3 linked regions of the Neurospora crassa OR74A genome follow. The protein of the gene in region 1 purifies or fractionates together with the protein of each later gene. This does not show direct contact. Links are inferred from orthologs where the notes say so. Each region holds a gene or a part of one and is shown in the gene's direction. Other genes may lie near its edges.

Region 1 (7,794 bases):
AATCTGACCGATCCCAGTCCCCCGTCATTCGTTCTCCGACCCGACCTTTTGGTTCTCCCATTTACACACCCAACCGCACAGCAATTTGCACTCGTTTTATTTTTTTCTCTCCAAGCAACAGAGAAAAGAATTCAACAACCATCGACTCCCATTGCCCTGCATGGGTATATGCAACCCGCATTCTCTTCGTTTCCAACTACCACCATCACATCACCGCAGCGCCAGAGTACTGTCTCTTGTGTGGCGGTGAGTACCCAAACCAGGAACTTTTGCGCCCTGATCGACACCGCATACCGAACCACATATCCAGGACTTGACACCGCCAGGGTTGGCTCCCTCCGAAGCAATGTCTGAGCCACATCATTATCATCATCATGACCAAGGGGAGGAATTCGAAGGGGCACCCTCGCGACAGGAGGCGGGCAGGTTAAATAAGAGGGACTCGAAGCTTGCGTTGAGGAACTTGTTTCACAGAAACAGATCAGCTACCGAAGCCGAACGAATGTCGACTGTCGCTCCCAGAGATACACCAACGAGGTCCGGAGGTCTGCGCGCCTCCATCGCCAGTGTTAGCCACTGGCCCTATGGACTGCATAACGATAATGGCCAAGCCCAGCGGTCCGACGTGACGTTATCCGGGTCCGCGGCCGGATCTCCTCTCGCATCTACCTTCCCGGCCCAAACTTTGAAACACAAGAAATCAGCAAGTGCAGTGCGTGGGCACGCATCGCCTAGAGCATCAAGGGGATCCCTGGCTGCCTGGGATCCACCAACCCTTTGCCAAGTTTATCCCCAAGCCATCAAGCAAGCCCGTCTTCCTGCCTGTACCGCTTCAGCTGAGGCTATACTCAGGCTGCATCAACACAAGGGCATCTTCTCGATTAGCGACGCTTTTGGATCAAGCTCAACAACAGCTGCAGATGGGGCAACTCCGTCGACAGCAGGAGCTGACAGGTCCGAGAGAGGGAAGAGGAAGCACCGCCGCAATACCTCTGGATCGGTTGCCCTCAAGTTAGACTGGACGACCAAGTTTTTCGTGCTTATTTCGGGATACTTGCTCCAATACACTGGGGATGGGCCCTTGGACCGTCTGCCGGAGAAGATCTTGCCGCTCGGAAAGGACTCAGCTGCCTTTGTAAGCGATGTTATTCCAGGACGTCACTGGGTATTGCAGATAACCGCCACAGCCGATTCGGACTATGCCGCCCCAGCATCTCACGCCAGCTCATTGCTTTCCCGGCTGCCTTTTCGAGGTGACAAAAGGCAGGCCTCCAACCTTTTGATGGTATTCGAGAACGCGCCCGATATGGAGAGTTGGTTGGCCACGCTTAGACGCGAAATCGAAGGCCTCGGAGGAAAGAAGAAGGTCTCGGAGACAGGAAACACACATTTCGACAATGAGGCTTCAGAGCTTCGAAGCCAGACGAGCCAAAGAACTTTGGTAGTTGATGATTACGTCGGGACCATGTCTGGTGATGCGTGGGACGGACGCCAGAGCACCTCCAATCTGGATATTAATATGGACTTCACTGAACGAGGTCAGTCCTTTGACGAGGCTGCGTCCACCGCTAGCGTAATCTCTCATGATGGTAGACAGCTAGACGGACTTAGGGACAGTACTCAGCGGTTTTCATATCTGTCGTCCGGGCAGCGTACAGCCCTCACGTCAGCTGGGTCATCACCAGCATGTTCGCCTATTCACGACTCTTTTGCAAACCTTCAGGACTCCATTCCAGAGCTCACCGCCCTTGATGACCAACCCCGACCGCGACCAAGACCGAATGCAGCAGCGATCAGTGACAGAAGACAGTCTCTGCAGACGTCGAATCATCTCCTCGAAATGCGTCTCGCCGCCTCTCATCCCCTCTCGAGTTTGAGCACGTGGAATTTCGATCCCAGCAGCCCTTCGAGCTCTAGCAAACGATCCAGCCAGCGTTATTCGCTCACTAGGTCAACAAAATCCCTCCCGGAAGAGGAAGTTGAACCATCTTCTCCACCTCCTCCGCTACCTTGTCAGATGCGCGGCGGTTCACGGAGACCCCCGCCCTCGGCTCTGTGCCTCAACTCACGCCCGCTCTCTTTTGTGGTGGATCAACCGTCGCCTGAATCGCCGTCGCTTGATAGGAAAGGTGTTTCAATCGAAGTAGCTGATGAGACAGCACCGGAACCGGAGTCCCTTTTCTCGTCTTGGGGATTGCCGGACGCAACCAAGCAACGTTGTGACAGCGGCGAGGACTGGGAGAATCTCTCTCCCACACAACCTGTCACACATGGTAGCCCTGAAAAGAGGTCAGGCTATGCTCCTCCATCATCAGTGGCTTTCCAAGACATGCTCAGATCCACTCCGTCCGTCGGCGATTACCCAGGTAGCCCATCGAAGCGCGCCGATAGAAGATTTAGTCTGCAGTCTCAGCTGTCAGAAAGGTCAAGCGAACCTGATCGCAGTTTCCTTGATCTGAGTGACCTCGGTGACGATCTCGGCGACCTTCCCCAGATATCTTCAACTTCACTTTCGAAGCAGGGCTCGAGACCCGCGCCCCATTTTAGGTCTTTGTCGGTTGCCAACGGCGGCTTGGGTTCGCGACGGAATAAGACACAGCTGGCGGAAGGTCCCCCACCTGCTCCCCCGCCGAATCGTGCCCTTCCTCCAATCCCGAGAAAATCGTCACTTCAAGTCTGTCACTCAGCATATTCACCTTGAGCTGTGATTTGCATTTACTCGTATCTGGCGCCATACCATCATTCAACGCATCGCCATTTCTGGACGTCTAGGAAGCACGACCACTGAAGTTTCCGAGTATCTGTCAGCGACAATACTTGCAGAGCAAAGGGCGCCTGGGGATTCAACTGATAGAGATAAACCGCCATCGAACCGCTGATTGACTCCGTCACCATTTCCTTTGTCTCTCTTTTTTCAAGGTCGGGTTCAGTCGAAAAACAAGATACCGGTTAGATGGATGGAATAAGGATGCAGGAAGCAAGATACTGGATACCCAGGTGATGAGGGTACATTTATACCACCGGCGACATCCGGAACGTAACGTGTGAACGATCTCCTTTGTCAGGTCGATTTGGTGCGGGATTTGTCTTTTTTTGCCATATACCTTGTATTATGTAATGTTGGGGTACCTACTGTGTATGTAGGTGATTAATTGAGGAGGTGAGTGTGGTGGGCATGAAGGGCGGGGTGGTTTTCGATTCTCAATCGGAGGAGGGGGGTCACAGAGTCAGAAGAAAGCTGGTGCCCGGCAGGCTCCGTGGCCAACTTAGATAGCAGTGAGTTTAGAGCATCAGATATGGATGCTTGGAGAAATCTGAATCGAGTTCAAACTCTCAAACTTTAACCTCGGTGCCAGCCATCAACTTGCAAACAAAGGTACCTACTATGTACAACACGTCCTGGTGTCGAGAGAGTTGAGCTAGCTCCATGTTGCGGCGCCGCGCCCTGCCCCTGGTAGGCCTGGAGGAGCAACGTTCGGGTTAGGGTTGTGATGCCTGTGATGCCCCCACTAATGGATGCGAAGTGGAAGCAACCCAAAGCGGATAATGAAAGAAGGGGCAAAACACCTCAACGTATACGTCTGGATGCGACCAGTCCTGCTTTGTCAAAGAACGAAGCTTCGTTTGTAGGGAGCCGTATTGGCTGTCATGTGCGAATCTGCTGCCTTGATATTGTACGTAGGATAGAGCACCGTTAGCTGCCAAACAGGGCTGATTTCCTGAGTGAAAGCCGAGTCAGCAAGACAATTTTTGCCCCACACTCAAATATCCAAAAATTCCCACCTCCAAAAAATGGGGGGGAAAACTGCCCTGGCTTTTCAAACTTGAGCCCCACCAAAAATCGCCGCCAAACCAGCGCAACGTCAACCCATCGCGACGACAACCCACGGCCATTTCAGTCATCCACCGCACCCATCACCAGACGAGCCGAACCTGCGGAATCAAAACAACCACATACTGTCAAGATGGCTGCCGTTCAACAGAAGTCAGTACTCCTCCGCTTGCCTCGACAGCAAACGCCCGTCTGCATCCACGCCCCCGATTCCCCCGATTGCCATTTTTCCGGCGTGCTTCACAACCCAACACGTATGCATTTGATTTCTCGGAGAGTAAGAGTCTAACATAGTTCGCGACCATTCAGGCACGACTGGGCCGACGATGACGAGCTCGAGGAGACCTCCACCGAACTCCCGCCCCCTCAGAAGATCACCAACAAGGATGGCAGCACGACCATCATCGAGTACCGCCTGAACGACAACGGCCAGAAGGTCAAGACCACACGACGCATCCGCTACATCACCCACCGTGAGGTCGTCAACCCCCGCGTCGCTGAGCGCAAGTCGTGGACCAAGTTCGGCCTTAGCGTCAAGGACGGCGCCGGCCCGGCCCCCGACACCACCTCGGTCGGCGAGAACATCATCTTCAAGCCTTCCTTCAACTGGCGCCAGGAAGCCAAGGATGAGAGCAAGGACCCCAACGCCCAGGCCATGAAGGACAAGTTGAAGGACAAGAAGGTCAAGTGCCGTATTTGCAACGGCGAGCATTTCACCGCCCGCTGTCCCTACAAGGACACCATGGCCCCCATCGGCGAGGCCGGCGCTGCCGCCGACGTCGCCGCCAGTGCTGCTGACGAGGCTGCTGCCGCTTCCCAGGGTGCGGCGGGCGCGGGCAAGAAGGGCTCGTACGTGCCACCTGCGCTGCGTGGTGCCGGTGGGGCCGCGGCTGCTGGAGAGAGGATGGGCGGCAAGTACGGCGAGCGCGACGATCTCGCCACTCTCAGAGTTACCAACGTACGTTTGCCCCTAGTGTCCCCCAAAAGGACGCGGAGGAGGAGGAGGAGGAGGAGGTGGTGGTGGTGGTGGAGAAGAAGAAGAAGCAGAAGGAAAAGGGAAAGAGGGAGTAGGCGACAGACTTGCAAAAGCTGCTCTGTTCTGCTCCTAAAGAGGGGTTATTATGACGGGACTGATTCGTGCTAACATGTTTTCTACGCTTAGGTCTCCGAGATGGCCGAGGAACAAGAGCTTCGCGATATGTTCGAGCGGTTCGGTCGCGTCACTCGTGTCTTCCTTGCCAAGGATCGCGATACGGGTCTTGCCAAGGGCTTCGCCTTCATCAGTTTCGCTGATCGCAGCGACGCTGTCAAGGCTTGCGCCAAGATGGACGGTTTCGGTTTCAGACATTTGATCCTTAGGGTTGAGTTCGCGAAGAAGGCTGCGTAAACTTAATGGGTCTTCTAGACGGACGAGGAGGCGGAGGAGAGGGAGGAAGGGGTTAGAGGAATGATGGAAGAAGCAGCGATGTTTTGGTCCCTAATGCGGTCTGCACAAGGAAGTGCGTCATCAAAATGGGAAAGGACTCTTTGATACTACTATTACTTGATCTGGTTCCTGTCTCTTCTTGCTGTGGGGGTTCATACTAATGGGGAACAAGCGGCAAAATTTGTCATGATCGAGAGATTTCTTCCGCCTTTTAAGCATATCGGGCCAGGGTGGCCAGGTGGTTATAGTTGACTTTTGTTACATGGATGACGGGCTAACTCCAGGTTGAACAAGATCGGTGTAATAGACTGGCAACATGCCCGGACTACAGGAGCCCAAAACGCACCGAAGCTCTTCAGAATACAGTGTGGTCTTCTTGTCGATTCAGGGCGCATGCCAGTGTTTAAAACAGCTGACAGCCTCTCTGAACTCTTGAATTATTATCAGTGCATTTATCTATCCCGCTGAACGTCCCTGGCATCAAACATTATATTACTTGGTGACAGAATCTGTTATGATGTCCTATCATCAACTCAACCGACCAATCGCAAAGACCGTAAGTTCCTGAGCTCTCTCAAAGCAGCCGGCACGTCCCTTCATCCTCTTCATCTTCCTGTCTCATTCATCTCATCACCGTAAAAGTCGTTCATCCCTCCGCCCTGCCCTCATAAATCATGAAGTCTTGGAAGATGTCGACAAAGAAAAATGGCTGGTTGCCTATAAGAGAAATAAGAAACAAATATCACTCGAGAATGAAATGAAAAAAAAAAAAAAGGGGGGGGGGGGGGGACATTCGGCGCAAAGAAACCTCAGCAACAACACCATGAACACACAAGAACAATAGCCTCCCGCCCATCATAACCCCTACACCTTCTCATCCCTAGACCTTCTTGCCTTTCCCCTCCTCCTCCTCCTTCGGTCATGATCACTCTCTCCATCAGTATCATTCCCTTCCTGCCTTTCCTTCTCCTCCTCATCGTCATTCTCGCTTCCATTCACCTCTTTCAGGCATGTTCCACCCTCCTCTTCCTCCCTTTCCCTAACCCCCCATACCTTTCTCCTCCCTCCGCCTTTTTTCCTCTTCCCAATCCCCCGTCTTTCCTCCGACTCCTCTCATCATGTATACGGCACTCTTCTAACCCACCCCTAGCTCAGCTCCACCGCCAACCTTAAGTGGCTCCGCGCCTGCTTGAAATGAGCGGCTGCTTTCGACTCTGTTGGTGCGCGCTAGGGTCGTCCGCTTGCGTGAGGTATAGCAACGTTCGGCGCGTTGGAGCTGGAGCTGGAGGGATCACTTAGATGGGAGAGCATCATGATGGACAAGGACACTGCGAGAGAGAGAGAGGGGAGTGGAAAGTTCAAGAGTTAGAAAAAACCACCCAACTGAGTGTATATATACTTGAATGTGTAGTGAGGTTGTTGGTTCGATACTACCTGGACGATTCTGAATTCATGCGATGTCTTGGCGTACTGGTCCCCTTTGGCGCAGAGTGACTGTTGTCACACTCTGAAGGCCGTTAATTGAAGTCTATCGATTGATAGGCGGTGGGCATGAACACCCAATCAAATTCTATATCTGCATGTGGTTGTGGTGGTCAAAGCATCATGTCGACTGGTTCCCTCGATCCGTTCCAGAAGACGACGCGTTCTTGCCATGAAATCGAGGATCGCCAGGCACCATGCATCACCATTGGCCCCCTTGCGCAAACAGCTTCGGTCGGGTCCCAAGGCCGTAGTGCAGAGAGAAATGGATGGGAAAGGATCTGTGATGAAAATACTTCAACTAAAGATGTCGGCGATGTCTGCCGATGGCAGACTGACGTAGTGTAGTCCTCCCCCGGTTGTTTCGAAAGTTGTTGAGGTGGAACCTGAATGTGAAGACTAGGTGAAGAGAGGGTGGAGGGGCATACATGCTACACTACACTGTAACAAAGATATGGGAAAGCTCGTCACTTTGATGACGTTCTGTTAGTAATATCTATGGCATTCCAAAGCTTTACCAGCCAATCATGTGAACTGATACTAACAGATAGTGATCCCAGATACACCAAGACGTTAGGGCGTCAATGGTGTGTAGGTTAGCGTATCGACAATTGCGTATTGGCAGCTGGTTGTCATCTCCAGGTCCCAATTTCCAGCCTCAAACCATGGAAACTATCATGTCCACCCTCAACTTCCCCTCCTCCTTCCTTTCCGATACAACCTAGCTCCCGGTGGGTTTTCTGACGAGGCGAAGACCGGATTCTCGCTCCGCACAATAAGCGGGTTCTAGGCCGTATTTACACTACATACCTCTATGCTTTTTATCTCTCCAGTTCTCCTGTTTGCACTGCCATAGAGATGCTTCCCGAATCCTCTCGACAACGCAAGCTCGGCTCTATCATCCAATTGCAAAGACACAAGCCCGGGATCGCTCAACAACTGACTGCACGCCTTCGGGTCTTCACGCACTGCGCATACCGTGTCCAGTGTCCTATTTCCCGAGTGGGCGACCCCCCGTTTCCCGGAAGAGCCGCGAGCAGTTGTTGGTGAAGAA
Region 2 (7,833 bases), on another chromosome or scaffold:
TGATGTCGAAAATAGACGCCCACTGGGAGTCAGGAGTGGGCACCGGACTGGCTTCGTGGTTACCTCTAGCTGCTTTTTCGCTCGTGGCTCAAGAGGGAGGCCGCAGATGTACGTCGGTAAGCGAGGAACTGTGATCGGGCAGTGGCAGGCCGTTTTTTTTTTGTTCCCTGTGTCTCCTGAATGTTGGAGATGCTGCAGATTCCTGTGGTGTTGCTTTGAGAGAAACGGGGAAAGAAGAGAAATTCAAGTCTAGAAGCAGAAATGGTCTACACATAAGACTCGAACGCCGTAAGAAAAGATGTAAGACCGGAAGTGGGGTTGCAACCTTTCTTCTTCTCGATATAGTAGCAACGGACCAGGGGAATAACAACAGCCTGTTGACGGCATGGACGATCCCGCGGCGTCAACACCAACATGTAGATGGCCCTGCGTGTGCACACATGGCCAAGAAGACGGAAATGTGCTCAGATAACTCGAATAGCAATCGACTGCTCATGATGAGTCCTCCTTCTCTCCTCATGTCTTCTCGCCCCCAACACCAGAGCCCTTCATGCTCTCTCTTGTGTTCTGCCTTCCTGGTCACAGGAGAAAATATCACTGGTTCGGACAGGCAAGGTTGGGTAACACGAATCCATTGGCTGGGGGCGGCTGGCGGATGGGGGAGCACTTTTACCGGACTCGACCAGGAAGAGGCAGGCCAACGACATCGTCCAGATGTACCGCCAAGATCATCGACAGCGTGAAGCTCAGAGCAGCACTAGGAGACGGCGGCCCGTGGTTGGGCGGCAAGCGGTCGTCGTCGTCGTTGTCGTTGCTGAGGAAGTCTTGGAGGGCGGGCCTTTTTCACAAGAACCCCTGCCGTACATCTCCGCTGGTCCCCTGCCATCCAACTGCCTACCCTGGAGTGTTCCGAGTCCTCTAATTGGCTGTTTGTTTTGGCTTTTCACATGTGTAGCCAATCAGTTGGCACAATCCTGTGATAGAGCTGCCAACCATGCATTGCTGGGCGGCAAGCGGTACCACACAAACCTCCTCTACGCTCTCTTCTCCGCGACTAGCGACTCGCTCGCTCCACGCTGTTCACACTCCATTTTTTGCGCAAATCATGGTCCCCCAATCTAATATCGGGCGCTGACCCAGAAAGGGCCAAATTCACGATTCTGAGTGTGATGTTTGACCATGACTTCGCGGGAACGCGCGGGAATCACGCGCCGGGGACACAGTAATCTTTTATACTTGCCGACCAGCATCGTCAGTTGACCATGTTCATTAATGTGAAAGCCAAGGGCTGGTGAAGGCGGGGATTTCAGCAACCCGGCGGCTTCTTCAGACTTGTCAATGTCACACCATCACACGTGTGGTCTCTGCTTCCCGACTTTCCAGCTATTCTGTGTTCTTCACGCTTTTCTCTATTTGGGAGCGGGGTCCCTCTGGAACAGCGACGAACAACGACGTCGGTGTTCCGTAACACAGCGGACAACATGGCATGGTACCAAGACATGTACACCGCTAGGACGGATGCAGTGCTGCTGAGTGAGTGTAAGACGGACTATGCAACGAGCTTGATTCAGGAAAGACGATACAAGGCTGGTGGTGTTTGGGTGTATGTTCTGGACTCGCAAAGATCAATACCTTGAATATCAGAGCCGTGGTCACAAGTCCGCGACAGTGATGTCCTTGTTCTGGACTTGCATTTGACAGCCAATATGTTATCCAACTCGGACATCTCAGCTTACGAGTTTCCGCCCATAGATAGCTTGGCAACTTATATGCCGTCCTCAACTCTGACGAAAAATCGTATCTACACCTGGAAGCGAGGTTACCTTGTGCTGCACTTGTCAGCACACAGATATTGCCCGCCCTCCATCGGGTGTTCGTAAGCACAGAGTATCATGGAAGTGCCAGTATTTAGCACATCAACTTGGGGGTGTTGCCACCGGTTTAGTATTTTTAGCCCGCCGAGACGGAGGTTGTGTACTAAGGCTTCAGTACCACCGTTGTGATATCGCCATCAAAACCATAATGGACAGCCAGTTCTGCGTTATATTCCTACCCGCTCTCTCGGTCATCTCGGTGGCTCGGTGGCTCGGTGGCTCGGTGGAAGCACGCTGTTCGGCTGCTGCAAGTCATCGCCCATGGCACCATTGATGCGGTTCGATGACTTGACAAGAAAAATCCGAGCTCAGCAAGAATTCCCATTTTGGGGAGTGGTGCCGTAGGTAGTGCTGGCCACATCATGTCGTGAAACGATGATTACCAAGCTCATTGCAGAAGACAAATCCTCAGCAGTGCGCCTCTTAAGAAGAACTGACAAGGTATTAATAGGAGTGGCTCGGCCATGCCAGTTGTGAATTCATCGTTTGGTCCGTTTGCCCAGTCTCAGCCCGAATGAACTTGAATAGACACTCCCGTGCTATTTTTCTTGACCCCAACCCAGCGATGATCAAGCTCCCAGCATGGTTATGGACGTGACTGACGGCCATTCAGCGGTCAAGCGGATATGTCTCGTGTAACCGGCTGAGTCTTCTCCCCGCTCCAATAGTCATTGCTGTGAATCGGTTGTGGCTTGAATCCTACTAGACTGCTTCTCGAACCATCAGAGACGGTTGTACGCGCTGTTGAACAGGTCTTGGCCCCGGAATCTTCCCGATTCCGATCCAACAAGCATCTGGGTTGGATGTGAAACAAGGGCTTGGGCGTGTTTTGGGGGCCGGGAGAGAAGCGTGTTGGTGGCCGATGTAGTTTTGATGTATATCGAGCATATTCCCAGCAAAATACACTCAAAACATAACATGATCCTGTAACGCTTGCACAGCTGTTGCAGTTACTCCCTGCCTCAGTCCAAGATCACGGAGGACAACATTCGGGCCACTTGGCTCAACTCTTCACAGCGCTATTATCCCGAGACTGAGCCCTAGTTGAACCCTTATTATCCCAAGAGCGATGAGCCTCACCTTTCGTGAAGATATCGAATAACTTGACGGGAAAGGGTCGAATCCAGGAGAAGACACCTCGTGTCCTACCTTTTCGCTCCACAGTCAGGCATTGGCAGCAGGTACGACTTTGATGACGCCCTTAACCAAGCTTCATAGAGTTGAGACTGTGGCCATGACCAGCATCGTGGGTGCTCCTCAGAGTTGACGACGACAAGCAGACTCGGCGTTGTTGATGATGGATCAGCTTATCGACCCGGAAACGTTTGTATGTACGTCGAAGGATGCCGGTGTCAATGGGAGAGGCCGTTGCAGAGTAACGATTGTTCTCAAAGAAAGAAACCGGATTCAACTCGCCGATCGATACAATGTACCCGTTCTCAACGTTCAGTTGATATAATTCTCAGCGTTGAGTTACCGTGTACGCTGTGAGTAAGTTTCTGCCGACACAGACGGGACAGAGGGTTGGATAAAAGTGTAGATGGCGAACTCTTGATAGGAGAGAGGTTCCAAAAGTCACCTCAATGATGTTGAAGCTGAACCGTGACTGAGCTCTGGACTTTAGCACTACACTTACTTGGTCCTTATCGCGCTCTTATCGGCCCTTGTGGGGCAGGCGACGGTCGGGCTAAACCGAAAACCGTGCTTAGTGGGGCAGCGGCAAAGGCGGGAAGGGTTGGGCGCACGCAGGGCAGGTTCGCAGAGCGGAATGTGTGAGGCTCTCGCCTTGTTGGTCGCAGCTGGCAGCGGCAGCACAGGAAAATACCGACCTAGCACAAGCCAAATACAAGTCAAATATCGTCAGAGTCATCCACCAGGCAGGCAGTTTTTCTTCTCAGCCTTCCTCCAACCTTCGCTGTAACCCCACTATTTTGGCAGGTCCAGTTTTACTACCTCTACCGTCCACCAACAACGTCCGCTATCACAAATATCGCGAGTCCCGTTGCGGAGACAGTAGGACACCCACATACATACCCACACCAAGGAGCAGGGTCTAGAAAAGTACACAGCAACTACCAGGCATACACCACCCACTACACAGTACACAGCAAGAGGGGTTGCTTCACCGAAAGCGAAAAAATTACTGCCCCGCGACACATCCATCCATCGACTTGACGACCCAACCTAACTCACCTCCACACCTCACCTCCATCCACCCACATCCACAATCATGGCTACCAACGGCGACAAGTTTGGCAACGACATCGTCGAGTCCGACTCGGGCTCCGACAACGAGTCTCACGTCGACCAGCACGAGTCCGACAACGAGGTCGAGGCCAAGCCGCGCAAGTCGGCCCTCAAGAAGGCCCCCGCCCCCGTCGTCCAGAGACCTCCCCTTCCTCCCCAGACCGATCCCAAGGACCTCGACGTCAAGACCCTCAGCCCCCTCACCCCCGAGATCATTGCGCGACAGGCCACCATCAACATCGGCACCATCGGCCACGTCGCCCACGGCAAGTCGACAGTAGTAAAAGCCATCTCGGGCGTCCAGACGGTCCGTTTCAAGAACGAGCTCATCCGCAACATCACAATCAAGCTCGGTTACGCCAACGCAAAGATCTACAAGTGCGACAACCCAGCATGCCCTCGCCCGACATGCTACAGGAGTTACAAGTCCGAGAAGGAGGTTGATCCCCCTTGCGAGCGCGAGGGTTGCGAGGGCACCTACCGTCTGTTGCGCCATGTCTCGTAAGTTGTTTAACATAACATCATTTGCGCCAATGAATGACTGACCATGTGTCTCCTCCTCCCAGCTTCGTCGACTGCCCTGGTCACGATATTCTCATGAGCACTATGCTTTCAGGTGCCGCCGTCATGGACGCCGCTCTCCTCCTGATTGCCGGAAACGAATCCTGCCCTCAGCCCCAGACCTCCGAACATTTGGCCGCCATCGAGATCATGAAGCTCGACAAGATCATCATCCTCCAGAACAAGGTCGATCTCATGCGCGAGGAGGCCGCCAAGCAGCACTACGAGTCCATCCTCAAGTTCATCCGTGGTACCGTTGCCGGAAAGTCGCCCATCATCCCCATCTCGGCCCAGCTCAAGTTCAACATTGACGCCATCAACGATGCCATCGTCAACACCATCCCCGTTCCTCCCAGGGATTTCTCCATGGACCCCCAGATGATTGTCATTCGTTCCTTCGACGTCAACAAGCCCGGTGCCGAGATCGACGAGCTCAAGGGTGGTGTTGCCGGTGGTTCCATTCTCCACGGTGTCCTCAAGCTCGGCGACGAGATTGAGATCCGTCCCGGTATCGTCACCCGTGACGAGAAGGGCGACCTCAAGTGCACTCCCATCTTCAGCAGGATTGTCTCCCTCAACTCCGAGGCCAACGACCTCAAGTACGCCGTGCCCGGTGGTCTCATTGGTGTTGGTACCCGCATCGATCCTACCCTTTGCCGTGCCGATCGTCTGGTCGGTTTCGTCCTCGGTCTCAAGGGCCGCCTCCCCGAAATCTACTCCGAGATCGAAGTTAACTTCTACCTCCTCCGCCGCCTTCTCGGTGTCCGCACCGCCGACGGCAAGCAGGCCAAGGTCGACAAGCTTGCCAAGAACGAAGTCATCATGGTCAACATTGGTTCCACCTCCACCGGTGCCAAGGTCTCCGCCATTAAGAAGGATGCCGCCAAGCTCATCCTCACCTCCCCTGCCTGCACGAGCATCGGCGAGAAGGTTGCCCTTTCCAGACGTATCGAGAAGCACTGGCGTCTTATCGGTTGGGCTACCATTGCTGCGTAAGTTTTTTTCTTTTCTATTTCTTTACCCCATAACTTATCACCACTGAATAACCACTAACAAAAAAAACAGCGGTGTCACCCTCGAGCCTTCTACCTCTTAAGCGAGCGACCAGAAAATATCCAAAGTTTATACATCGCTTGATTAGGAGGAAAATTAAAAGGTTGTTAATTTTTGGTTGCTCTAATGATGAATATCCAAAAAGTCGTTGGAGGATGATCAAAGAATGGAAACTTGGGCGCGGACACGGAAGGAAACGGCGTAGCGTGGGGAAACCGGGACCTGTGTTTCTAAAAACTAGCCTTGTGAAATTTGTACATGGTCTTATTTTTATCCAACTTGGGGCCGAGGACAGTAGAAAGACTGGTCATACGATTCGTTGAAGAAGATGAGCGAGGAATGTTGTGAAAAGAGGAACTCGTGAAGAGAAGCGCATTATCGGACCATTAGGAGTTTTTGTACAAAAAGTTATGTTTGGTACCGACGTACTTTGGGTTTACCAAGTAGTGGTAGAGGTAGAGAAGATGCCATTACGTTGATTTTGTCAAGGTCCGACGTACTTGGATTGAGTTTATTAGCCAGTGGTGATGATAAGAGTAAACTTGAAAGAGTGAAGTAGAGAAGATAAATACATTGATTCCGCCATGAGTCTTCGACGTAATGACCATCTTACCATTATACTAGGCTATGGTAATGGCTCGGATAGATGGAAAGAGTCCAAGAATATACCTAACAATACTCTTCATGGGACACAGTCGAGTATGTATCCGTACGTAACTCTATTCATTTTTCTCTTTCTAGACCTGATAGTCTATCATACCTATCACAATTCCCTCCCCCTTTTGAAACTGAACCACACCCGAAAAAAACCTTCTTGTCCTTCGCTAATTACAACACCTGATATTATAACAAGTCTCAGTCTATCAAAGTAATCACCTCCTGTACATCGAATAGAAGAATAGAATATAATCATCATCCTTTTCCTTTCCCCCCTCCATTCCCTGATCCCCAACCAAACCAACCACCCACACTCTCACATATATATATACCCAATCACACCCACCTCCCCCACCCCGACTTATGTACTCACGTACTTACTTACTTACTTCCTAACCTTCCTTGCATGCTTCACCAGATTCTCAATCACCCCTTCAAACGCCTCCCGATCACCAATCTTCTCATCCGTCCTCTGCTGCCAATACACCAACACCTCGGACGCCACCCCTTGCATCGCCTCCAATTTTTGAACATGCTCTTTGAGTTCCTTGTCCGTCATCCCCGAAAGCGCCTCATCCGTCGTCTCGCACAGCTGCTTGGCAGCCACTAGGTCGAATACCGGTTCGGGCGGTGGTCCCTTCCTAGCGGAACTGGAAGAGCGGTTGGCGCTTCCTTCTGTGTTTGATCCTGCGGCGGCGGCGACGGTTTTGTTGACGGGTGGTTGCTTGGATGGGTTGCGGCTTGAATTCGAAGTCGAAGTAGTGGTAAGGTTTTGGCTGTTTTGGTTGTTGCGGAAGGCAGCGGCGGCAGAGCTAGCGCGTCGCGAACGACCTGTGCGTTCGTCGTCTGCTGCGTCGGGGTCGCCTAACGAAGGCAAGACGAGTTTCTTTTGTTTGGAAGCGGGGAGGATCTCGTCTAGGTCGACGGGGACGCCGAGGGAGACGAGGAAGAGACGACGGATGCGGGAGCGGATCCAGTCGGGGGGTTGGAGTGGGGGAGGGGCGACGAGCTGTGACCAGAGGGAGGCGGAGCGGGGGTGTTGGAAGATGGGGTCGGTGATGCCGTTGGAGACATTGAGGGTGGGGATGGGGGAGGAGGAGGAGTCGTCGCCGTCGGTGTCGGGGGAGGGAGGGAAGAGAGCGTTGAGGTAAGGGGAAGTGAGGGAGAGGATCTCGGACGCGGAAAGGTGGGTGAAGTCGGGTATTTGCTAGGGGATATGTTAGTGTGTGTTGGACGTAGAGGGAGTAACTGGGTTGGGGACTTACGAAGGATAATGAGGACTGCGGTTGTTGTGGTTGCGGCTGAGGAGCAGGTGCTGGAGCTGAGAACCCTTCGGCTTCTTGGAAGTCATCGTCGTCAAAGCCGGCATCGTCAAAGTCGCCAAAGTCAGCATCGTTGTTGGCCTCGGCTCCCTCCTCAAAGTCGTCAAAGTCATCCCCAA
Region 3 (7,740 bases), about 2.8 Mb from region 1:
CGTCTTTTTGTCCGGTTCTATGCTCTGGTGGGTTCGGTCCTTGGCGCTATCAGCGTATGGTGAGATCTCCGGCAAAATATGTTACCCAAAGTTCAGCACGCTAACAAATTGCACTTCAGTGGCTTGTACACAGCCACAGCCCTGTAATTTCGTTCGACCAACATTTCTTCTTCGAGCCATTATTTGACTTTGATATATCGCTGCATAATACCATTGTTTCATCATTCCCCGCTTCCTTTCGAGGATGCCTACACTAGACGCGTGTAAATATAGACACTCTAATGGACGTCTCGAGCTATCATCCTAGGTATACGTCAGCAAACCACGGGAAGGTCCATGACTCGCCGTCACGATATATTCGGTTGATCATGGCTGAGCACATAATTTAATCACTGATCGAATTCAAGTGAGCACGTTCGACTACCTTGGGTTTCTATGCGTTGGGTAGAAGTTGCAAATGTGAACTCGAGCCGGATAGTTACCCGGGGAACGGATCGAAAAGGCTTGACATATCAGGTTTGTTATTGCTAGATATAGTTGATCATGAGAGATCAACGACCTTCGGAGTGAAGATCCGAAACAAGTACACACCTTGAAACAGTGAACTGCTGCACAGAGAGAAGAACCCAGTATCTTTTTTACCAAAACGCCAGAAACAGCAAAGAGAGTGGGGGGTATCTAGTGTAACACGCATAATACAACAACTTGGTCCAAAAACGCCTGGCTTCATGAACCCAAACCACAACCATCTGTCAAGACCTTCCGCCCAAGATCAACCGATGACCTCCGCCCTTTCAAATCCCGTCGGCTTCAAAGCCGGATTGACCGGTCTCCTCCCGCCCTCGCCCTCCTTATAGTCGCTCACAAACGGATTCGGATCCTCCTTCTGGTCCAAATTGCTCAATGTATGATTAACGCCCCTGTGCACTGCCTCGTCCGCGCGGATATAATGGATCAAGTCCTTCATCGTCCGCTTCCCCTCCGGCATGCGCCAATACCTCACCGCCATCTCCGGGATCTCAAACTTTTCGTCGCTCCACTTTGGCAAGTGACCTTCCTCAATCTCCCTGATGCACCGCGTGTAGGTATGTACGGCCTCCTCCTCGAGGTAACCGACAAACCGGTGGGTGATTTTGGGGGAGATCAGGTAGCTGAGAAACATGGCGTTGAAGAAGACGCCCTGCGCTCCCAAGATGAGCGTCTTCATGAGGAGGCCGGGTTCGCACATCTTCATAAAGGTGAGGAGGTGCATGCGCTCGTTGTACGATTCTTCAAGTAAAGTCTCGATCCAGCCGTTGTCTCGTTTGAGCCGGCGGAGGGAGTGCAGGTGGCGGAGCATGCCGGCTACCATGCCGGGAACGCCGGCGATGGATTCGAGGAAGATGAAGCGGACGAGCTATATGGATTTGCGACATTTGGTTAGCTTGTGTTGCCATTCCGTCCTCGTAGGGCTCCATAGAACATACCCATTGGGCTTCGGTCAGAGGTTTGTCCGCGCTGGTGGCGGTCGTCGGGTGGTGTTTATCAACTTGCTGCTCTGGACGTATGCCCGTCGCTATATCAGTGGCCCATCTGTTTGATATTAGAACACTTTGAATCTACGTCTGCTTCCGCGTCCGCAAGATACTTGAGGGGCAATATGGGAACCCTCCTTGGAATTTACCTACCGACAGATTCGTACGAGTTTCCATGCGAGCCAATCGCCCACAGTCTCGGGTTTCCGGTGCTCGGGAACAACCGAGGTCATCTCTTCCTCTGTCCATCCATGATGAGGCCACGCGGGTGGTGTCTGCCGGATATAGGCGGTCTCTTTGGCCGGGAAGAAATCCTTCAGTCGAGTAACGCTTGTTGTCGAGAGATTGCGAGGTGATGGGGAAGAGAGGTTCGTCTGTGTTGGATGTAAGGAAGTGGCCACTCGAGAGCCCGCGAGCAGGAGAGGCCGAGTATGGCAGGTTGATATCAGGGCACGGCTTAGTTGGGCCGCTTGTCCTGGAGCGTGGAGTATGTTTACTTTGGGGGTGTTCATCGAGAGTTTAGGGAGTGATGTGAAGTTGTAATGGAACTCGCTTGAGGTTTGTGATGATGGTCCATATGTGTCGGACAGCACTAGACACGGGACGTTTATATCGTCCTTTCCTGCCCCCAGTTGCAACTCCTTTCAGGGAAAAATTTGGAATACGAGAGCTGACTGAAAACACCGAGTTTGTCCGTCCCTGGTCTCAAAGGAGCAATAGAGTTCCGACACTGCCCAAGCAATCTCCATTTTTTAACATCAAGACAATCCAGGAACAAGCAAATAGCGGGCGCTAGCGAAAGGAACCCGGAAAGCTCCAGATCTTCAACCAGGACAAAATTTCATTTTGAATCCTCAAAGTGGCAACCGGGCATCGATTGTGGTGGTCAGCTGGATGTCGTTGTTTGGCGGTGTCGGGACCTCCCGGGTGACAAGCCATAGGGCGCAGTTCCACTTCCGCAACATTCTCGGGATTAGCCTTGTACATATCCAGAAGAACAGCGAGCCCCTGAGCAAGTACACTAAGACTGGGGGATTGTGACTCAACACAAAGACAGCCACAGGAGATTTCGAGATCATTGATAGTTGGTTGGTTGGTTGACAGGGCACTTGGGCGAGTTATGTGTTGGAGATTTTGCTGACAGTAATAGCGAGCGGAGGGAAACGGAACACCAGTCGCACTTGTTCTCATAGGACACACAGCATGACTGAGCAATGGCTTGGTTGCTTCCGAACCTGCAAATATACAAACAAATGTCTTGGGCCATAAGTTGCGAATGGCTTCATGTTAAACTTCTAACTTTGCTGTGACGTCAGTGGTAGTTATTCGTAGAGTGTAGGATCGAAGGAACAATTGCAAGTGTCCAAATATTATCCCGTGTCGGAAGCGGGGTGGAAGTGGTGTACAAAATATTGACGACGCAGGGCATTTTCGGGTGACTCCTGGTCCAGAACATTTGGTGAAAGAGCAGAGCTTTAGCATCCACCTAGTTGTTTATGAATCATTCTCTCCACATGCGTTAACAGACTTCTCCAAAAAGCCATCCTTCTAGGCCTGCTGCACCTAGCACATGCTGCTTGACCGAGGCCGTACATATATGGTGCATGCATCGTGCATATACAAGATGTCCTAAAAGATAAGAGAACGAAAAGAAAAGAAAAAGGGAAATAAAGACGGGCATGTTGGCGAACTGATGGTTTTTGTCAGGACTCAGCACCGACCCTGACTGACGGGCCCGTGCGACACAGCACTGACCCCGCATAAAGCCTTCTGGAGGGAAGGCATTGATATATACCAAAGATGGGAAGGAAGTGGTTATTCAGAAGGGATGGTAGCAAGCAAGACGTACGAGGAAGTCAGGTGCTTGGTAAAACATAAACGGGAGGAATAAATGGGGACGATTCCTGTGTATTGAAGACTAGCCGCCCCAGGCGTCTGGAGGTTCTGGTTTTCCTCCTCATCTTCATCGGGCATCTTCTCAATGAAATCCAATTGGTCACAAAGCCCTTTTCCCTGGCAGTTTTGGCATTGTATTAAAATCTTAGACGTTAAAGAACCTTGAAGAACCTGTGAAACGCTGTTGCTGTTTCACTGTTGGTCTTCTAACCCCGCTAACAATACCTAGTTATTTTGCCCACTGCGAACGGAACCACACTCAAGGTGGCTGACCCCTGCTCGCTTTTTCAACTTCTCAAGACTGCGATCGGCTTCTCTTTTGCAGTTTGGACACAACCAACCACAGCACGCAAACTTTTCCTCGTCGCGCCAGACATCGTTGTCGCAAAGACCCGTTCGGTTTTCTAGATCGTCACTACCAAATCGCAAACATGTCTGGAAAGAAGTGGGGTAAGTCTTCCTCGCTCTCCTTGCCTTTTCCCTCTTTGCGCAAGACGAACCCCGCGAACAGTGTATGTCGGCGAAAGTGGGCGGCCGCGATCGCCGTGACAAGGCTGCCTGATGCCTGCGCCGGCTTGCGATAGACGCTGTTAACATTGCCATATGCCTCGAGGCTTCCATGTTTGAGGCGAATTGGACTTCAGCGACGCAGCCTATATATACAGATCAACCAGAACCAACTCTTGCATCGACTTTCCTGTTGCGCCACCACAACCTGTTCGAAACCCAGACTAACTAACCCCTCATCACCACAGACGAGGAAGAGGAGGAGTCTTCCGCCCCCAACTCGCCTGTCCTTGCCCCCGGCCGCCGCCGCTTCGACGATGAGGAGGGAAACGAGAGCGACGTTCTCGACTCGTGGGATGCCGCCGAGGACTCCGAGGTAGAGCGCGAGAAGGCGAAGAAGGCCGCCGAGGCCAAGGCCAAGGCTGAGGCCGAAGCCGCCGCCAACAAGAAGTCCAAGGCGCAGCGCATCGCCGAGCGTCAGGCCGAGCGCGCCCGCCAGCTGGCTGAGGATTCGGACGCGGAGGAGGAGACCGAGGCCGAGCGCCGCGAGCGCCTCCGCCGCGAGCAGAAGGAGTCCGATCTTAAACACGCTGAGGACCTGTTTGCCGGCATCGGCATCAGCAACGACCGCAAGGTCGTCAGCAAGGGCACCATTGTCCAGATCGACCCCAAGGACCCCAACAACACCATCGACATCTCGACCTTGGCCTTGTTCAACCCTACCACCAAGACCCAGTTTGAGACCCTCCGCACCACTCTTGGCCCCATGATCGGCAAGCTCTCGCCCAAGCCGCACTACACCCTCTTCCTCCAGGAGTTCTCCAAGCAGCTCGCCAAGGACCTCAAGAGCGACGAGATCAAGAAGATTGCTAGCACCTTGACTGCTCTCAGCAACGAGAAGCTCAAGGAGGAGAAGGCTGCCGAAAAGGGTGGCAAGAAGAGCAAGGCTGCCAAGACAAAGACCTCGCTCGCTGGTGTTGGTCGTGGTGGTGCCATTGCTGAGGCCCACGACACTTATGATGATGATGCTTTCGGAGAGTAAGTTGGCTTGAGGTGGAGTGAGAAAAGATACGCGTGGGGAACGATTGCTAACGTTTCGCTCTAGTGATGACTTCATGTGAAAGATTTCTACCGATAAATCACAATCGTTCGCTTTGTGAGGAAGAGAGGCCTCGAGTCCCTCTTCCCATCAAGGGATGTAGAATCATCCCCTTCACCAGGTATAATACTCATCTCACCCGGGAAGCATTCGGAGCGAAGCAAAAAAGTAGCGGTTGCGTGTGTTTCATGGCGTAAAAAGAAAGCGTAGACTACCACGACACCCGCGCAACGGTCACGGCACGTCCGCCGTCCGGACGTAAGGTTCAGTGGCATGATGTCTTGGATGGATGCATGAGGGATCAGAGTCGTCATCAGTGCCAGACTGGACGAAAAAAGGAGGATGGCCTCTTGGGGCACTGATCGAGTCGCGACTTGGGGGTGACGGGAAAAGGCAGCAGATACCATATAGCATGGGGGAAAGTAGATTTAGAGTGCATTCAATAATGAAGGCGAGCATCACGTTTCGAAAGTCCAGGCTGCATATCATCCTGGTGTGAGGTTCTCTTATCGATGCCATGGCTAAAATTACAACCAACACTATTTCAGTCACCATCTCAGAACCCTCTCAGAAACTTACACCAGTGAACAGGTGATATTTCCCGACCATGAACACCATGTGAACTTTTCAGACAATGTTGCTGTACCCTAATCAAAACACTTAAAACTCCGATCGCGATGTTGATCTGCCCTGAGCAACCATCATCACTGACAACAAAACCAGGGCACACAAAACACCTCGCCTCCCGCATTCATATGATTCCAGCCAGTAATTCGATCCGTCCGGGTCATTAAGAGCGTAAACCAGTTTCAAATCCCCTCCCTCCTGTTCATAACCATAACCTGCCTGCCTGCCTGCCTGCCTGTCTGTTCCTTCGAGCTCCTGTTTTTCAGAGCCATATAAGTATGTTTGATGTATGTATAGTACAGTGAAATACCGCTTGGAAAGGTATGGTAACCCCCTCACGGTAAAGTAAAGTAGAGAAGAGAGAGAGAAAAAAGGATAGTACAACACAACCCCATATCGTCACAAAACAAGACTTTTCCTCTACCCGCCTGATAAAATACAGGCAAAAGTCTATAATCGTCAGTGTCATATCCAATGACGGCTCACATCAAGTCTCCCGCCACGCCAGCCAGCAACGCATGTACCACGAGACTGACCGTCCACAGTCCCACGCGCTTGAATCTCCTCACCCTACTTTGCTGATCCTCTACGTTTCTGGCAAAAGCACGGTACACCTCGGCGCTCATATCGTCCATCAGCCCACAGTCCCAAACGGTCCAAGCTCCGTCAAAGTCCGTCAGCCGCTTTACGATCCGGCAACTGATGGGGATGTAGGTGCGCTTGGCGTTGATGTAGGCGACGATGGGCCGTACTAGGGCTTGGTTCACGTAGCTCATGTGTGGGTTGTTGAACAGAGGGACAGCGGCGCGGACGTCGTTGAGGTGGATGCGAAGGTCCATGACTAGATAGGAGGGAGTTTCTTCAATCGGGGCTGGCTCTTTGGGAGTCGCGGGAGGGATCAAGGGGGGGAAGTGCTGCTCCGAGGTGGGGAGCTCGTCGTGGTGGCCGGTGAGGTCGATGTCAGAGGCAGATTCCGGAATTGGCCCGCTTTCGAGGGTGGGGCTGTTGGTGTTGCTTCGGCTGTTGGGAGAAATGTTGCCGTCTAGAATCTTGAGGTAGCGGTTGCTGGTTACGGCTTCTTCCATTTTGTCGTAAAACTCGGCGACAACCTTGCTTAGACCCTCCTCAGGATCCGCAGGGAACATGATGTCGGCAATCATATCGACGTTGCCTTCGTAAATCCAGCCAAACGGTCCTTCTACACCGCGGTTCAAGTGGTCAATCTTCAGCCCATCAATCCGTAGTCGGGAGAACTTCTTCCAGGCCGAGGGAGAACCGAACTCGTCTTGGTGGTGACGGCCGTTATCTGCTGCGGACACACCGTGGATCTGTCTGGGATGAATGGTGAATAGTGATCCATCGAATGATCCGGACATGTGATTTGCTGACAAAAAGTCATAAAACAGCCATTGTTTTCGTAGCTGAGGCAGCTCGCAGGAGAAGATGGAAACGGAAAAGGGCCGGAAACCGCCCGGTTGGTGGACGGTGACCAGCAAGTCTTCCATCTTGAAGTGATCCAGTTCAAAGTCGCCAGGGTTATGTTCCTGTCTGAAGTCAAGGGGGTTGAGGTCCTCGTTGCCCCAGACAACCGAAGTCCTGTCAACAACGCCTCGAACACCCTTTATTTCGACGTCTTTGAGGAGACCCTTTCCGTTCCACCATTTGAGGAAAGATAAAGCCACGTTCACGGTGTCTATAGTGACGTCAAACTGTGTGTAATTGCCATCGTCCTCTTCCACGGCAGTGCCTTCTTGCTCGGCGGCTTGTTTAGCAGCAGCAGCTTCGGCCGCAGCTTCGGAAGAACCCTTCTTGACGGAAGACTTGGGCTGACCAGGTCTCCGAGAAACGAAAACATTGCGGAAAGTGATGACACCATCTCCCCATTTGGGCACAATAGCCGACTCGAAGACAACAGTAAGGCCAGCAGATTGGGTCAGGTAGTCTCCGATCCACTTGGCCAGCGTTTCCTGGGCAAACACCGTGTTGATAAAGAGGATGATGAGGGAGAAGAAGGTAGTTGTGCCAACAAGAATCCAGACCAAATGACCGAATAAGAAGAAGGACACAAACGCTCCCCATTCGTCGGCGTTCCAGGGG

What was found.
Region 2: the proteins of NCU08046 (region 1) and NCU02810 purify together in Saccharomyces cerevisiae (affinity purification with western blotting; 3 studies listed by BioGRID, with this or other methods). This does not show direct contact. The link is inferred for Neurospora crassa OR74A from reciprocal best matches to the Saccharomyces cerevisiae genes TIF35 and GCD11.
Region 3: the proteins of NCU08046 (region 1) and NCU07954 purify together in Saccharomyces cerevisiae (affinity purification with mass spectrometry; 5 studies listed by BioGRID, with this or other methods). This does not show direct contact. The link is inferred for Neurospora crassa OR74A from reciprocal best matches to the Saccharomyces cerevisiae genes TIF35 and HCR1.

Annotation. Positions count from the first base shown.
Region 1 is NC_026504.1:4,016,853-4,024,646, reverse strand, and holds NCU08046 (eukaryotic translation initiation factor 3), read left to right. Parts: upstream 1-3,578; 5' UTR 3,579-3,648; coding exon 3,649-3,674; intron 3,675-3,730; coding exon 3,731-3,985; intron 3,986-4,141; coding exon 4,142-4,790; intron 4,791-4,994; coding exon 4,995-5,219; 3' UTR 5,220-5,733; downstream 5,734-7,794. Other genes in the region: NCU08047 (hypothetical protein), read left to right, coding at 347-2,701. UniProt on the Saccharomyces cerevisiae protein: RNA-binding component of the eukaryotic translation initiation factor 3 (eIF-3) complex, which is involved in protein synthesis of a specialized repertoire of mRNAs and, together with other initiation factors, stimulates binding of mRNA and methionyl-tRNAi to the 40S ribosome.
Region 2 is NC_026501.1:9,043,975-9,051,807, forward strand, and holds NCU02810 (eukaryotic translation initiation factor 2 gamma subunit), read left to right. Parts: upstream 1-3,690; 5' UTR 3,691-4,104; coding exon 4,105-4,622; intron 4,623-4,687; coding exon 4,688-5,674; intron 5,675-5,747; coding exon 5,748-5,778; 3' UTR 5,779-6,238; downstream 6,239-7,833. Other genes in the region: NCU02809 (hypothetical protein), read right to left, coding at 6,778-7,599, 7,658-7,833. UniProt on the Saccharomyces cerevisiae protein: As a subunit of eukaryotic initiation factor 2 eIF2, involved in the early steps of protein synthesis.
Region 3 is NC_026504.1:1,229,799-1,237,538, reverse strand, and holds the start of NCU07954 (hypothetical protein), read left to right. Parts: upstream 1-3,597; 5' UTR 3,598-3,841; coding exon 3,842-3,860; intron 3,861-4,165; coding exon 4,166-4,955; intron 4,956-5,022; coding exon 5,023-5,038; 3' UTR 5,039-6,125; coding exon of another isoform or gene 6,126-7,740. Other genes in the region: aod-1 (alternative oxidase), read right to left, coding at 773-1,396, 1,467-1,572, 1,668-2,026; pod-1 (mitochondrion biogenesis protein), read right to left, coding at 6,126-7,740. UniProt on the Saccharomyces cerevisiae protein: Component of the eukaryotic translation initiation factor 3 (eIF-3) complex, which is involved in protein synthesis of a specialized repertoire of mRNAs and, together with other initiation factors, stimulates binding of mRNA and methionyl-tRNAi to the 40S ribosome.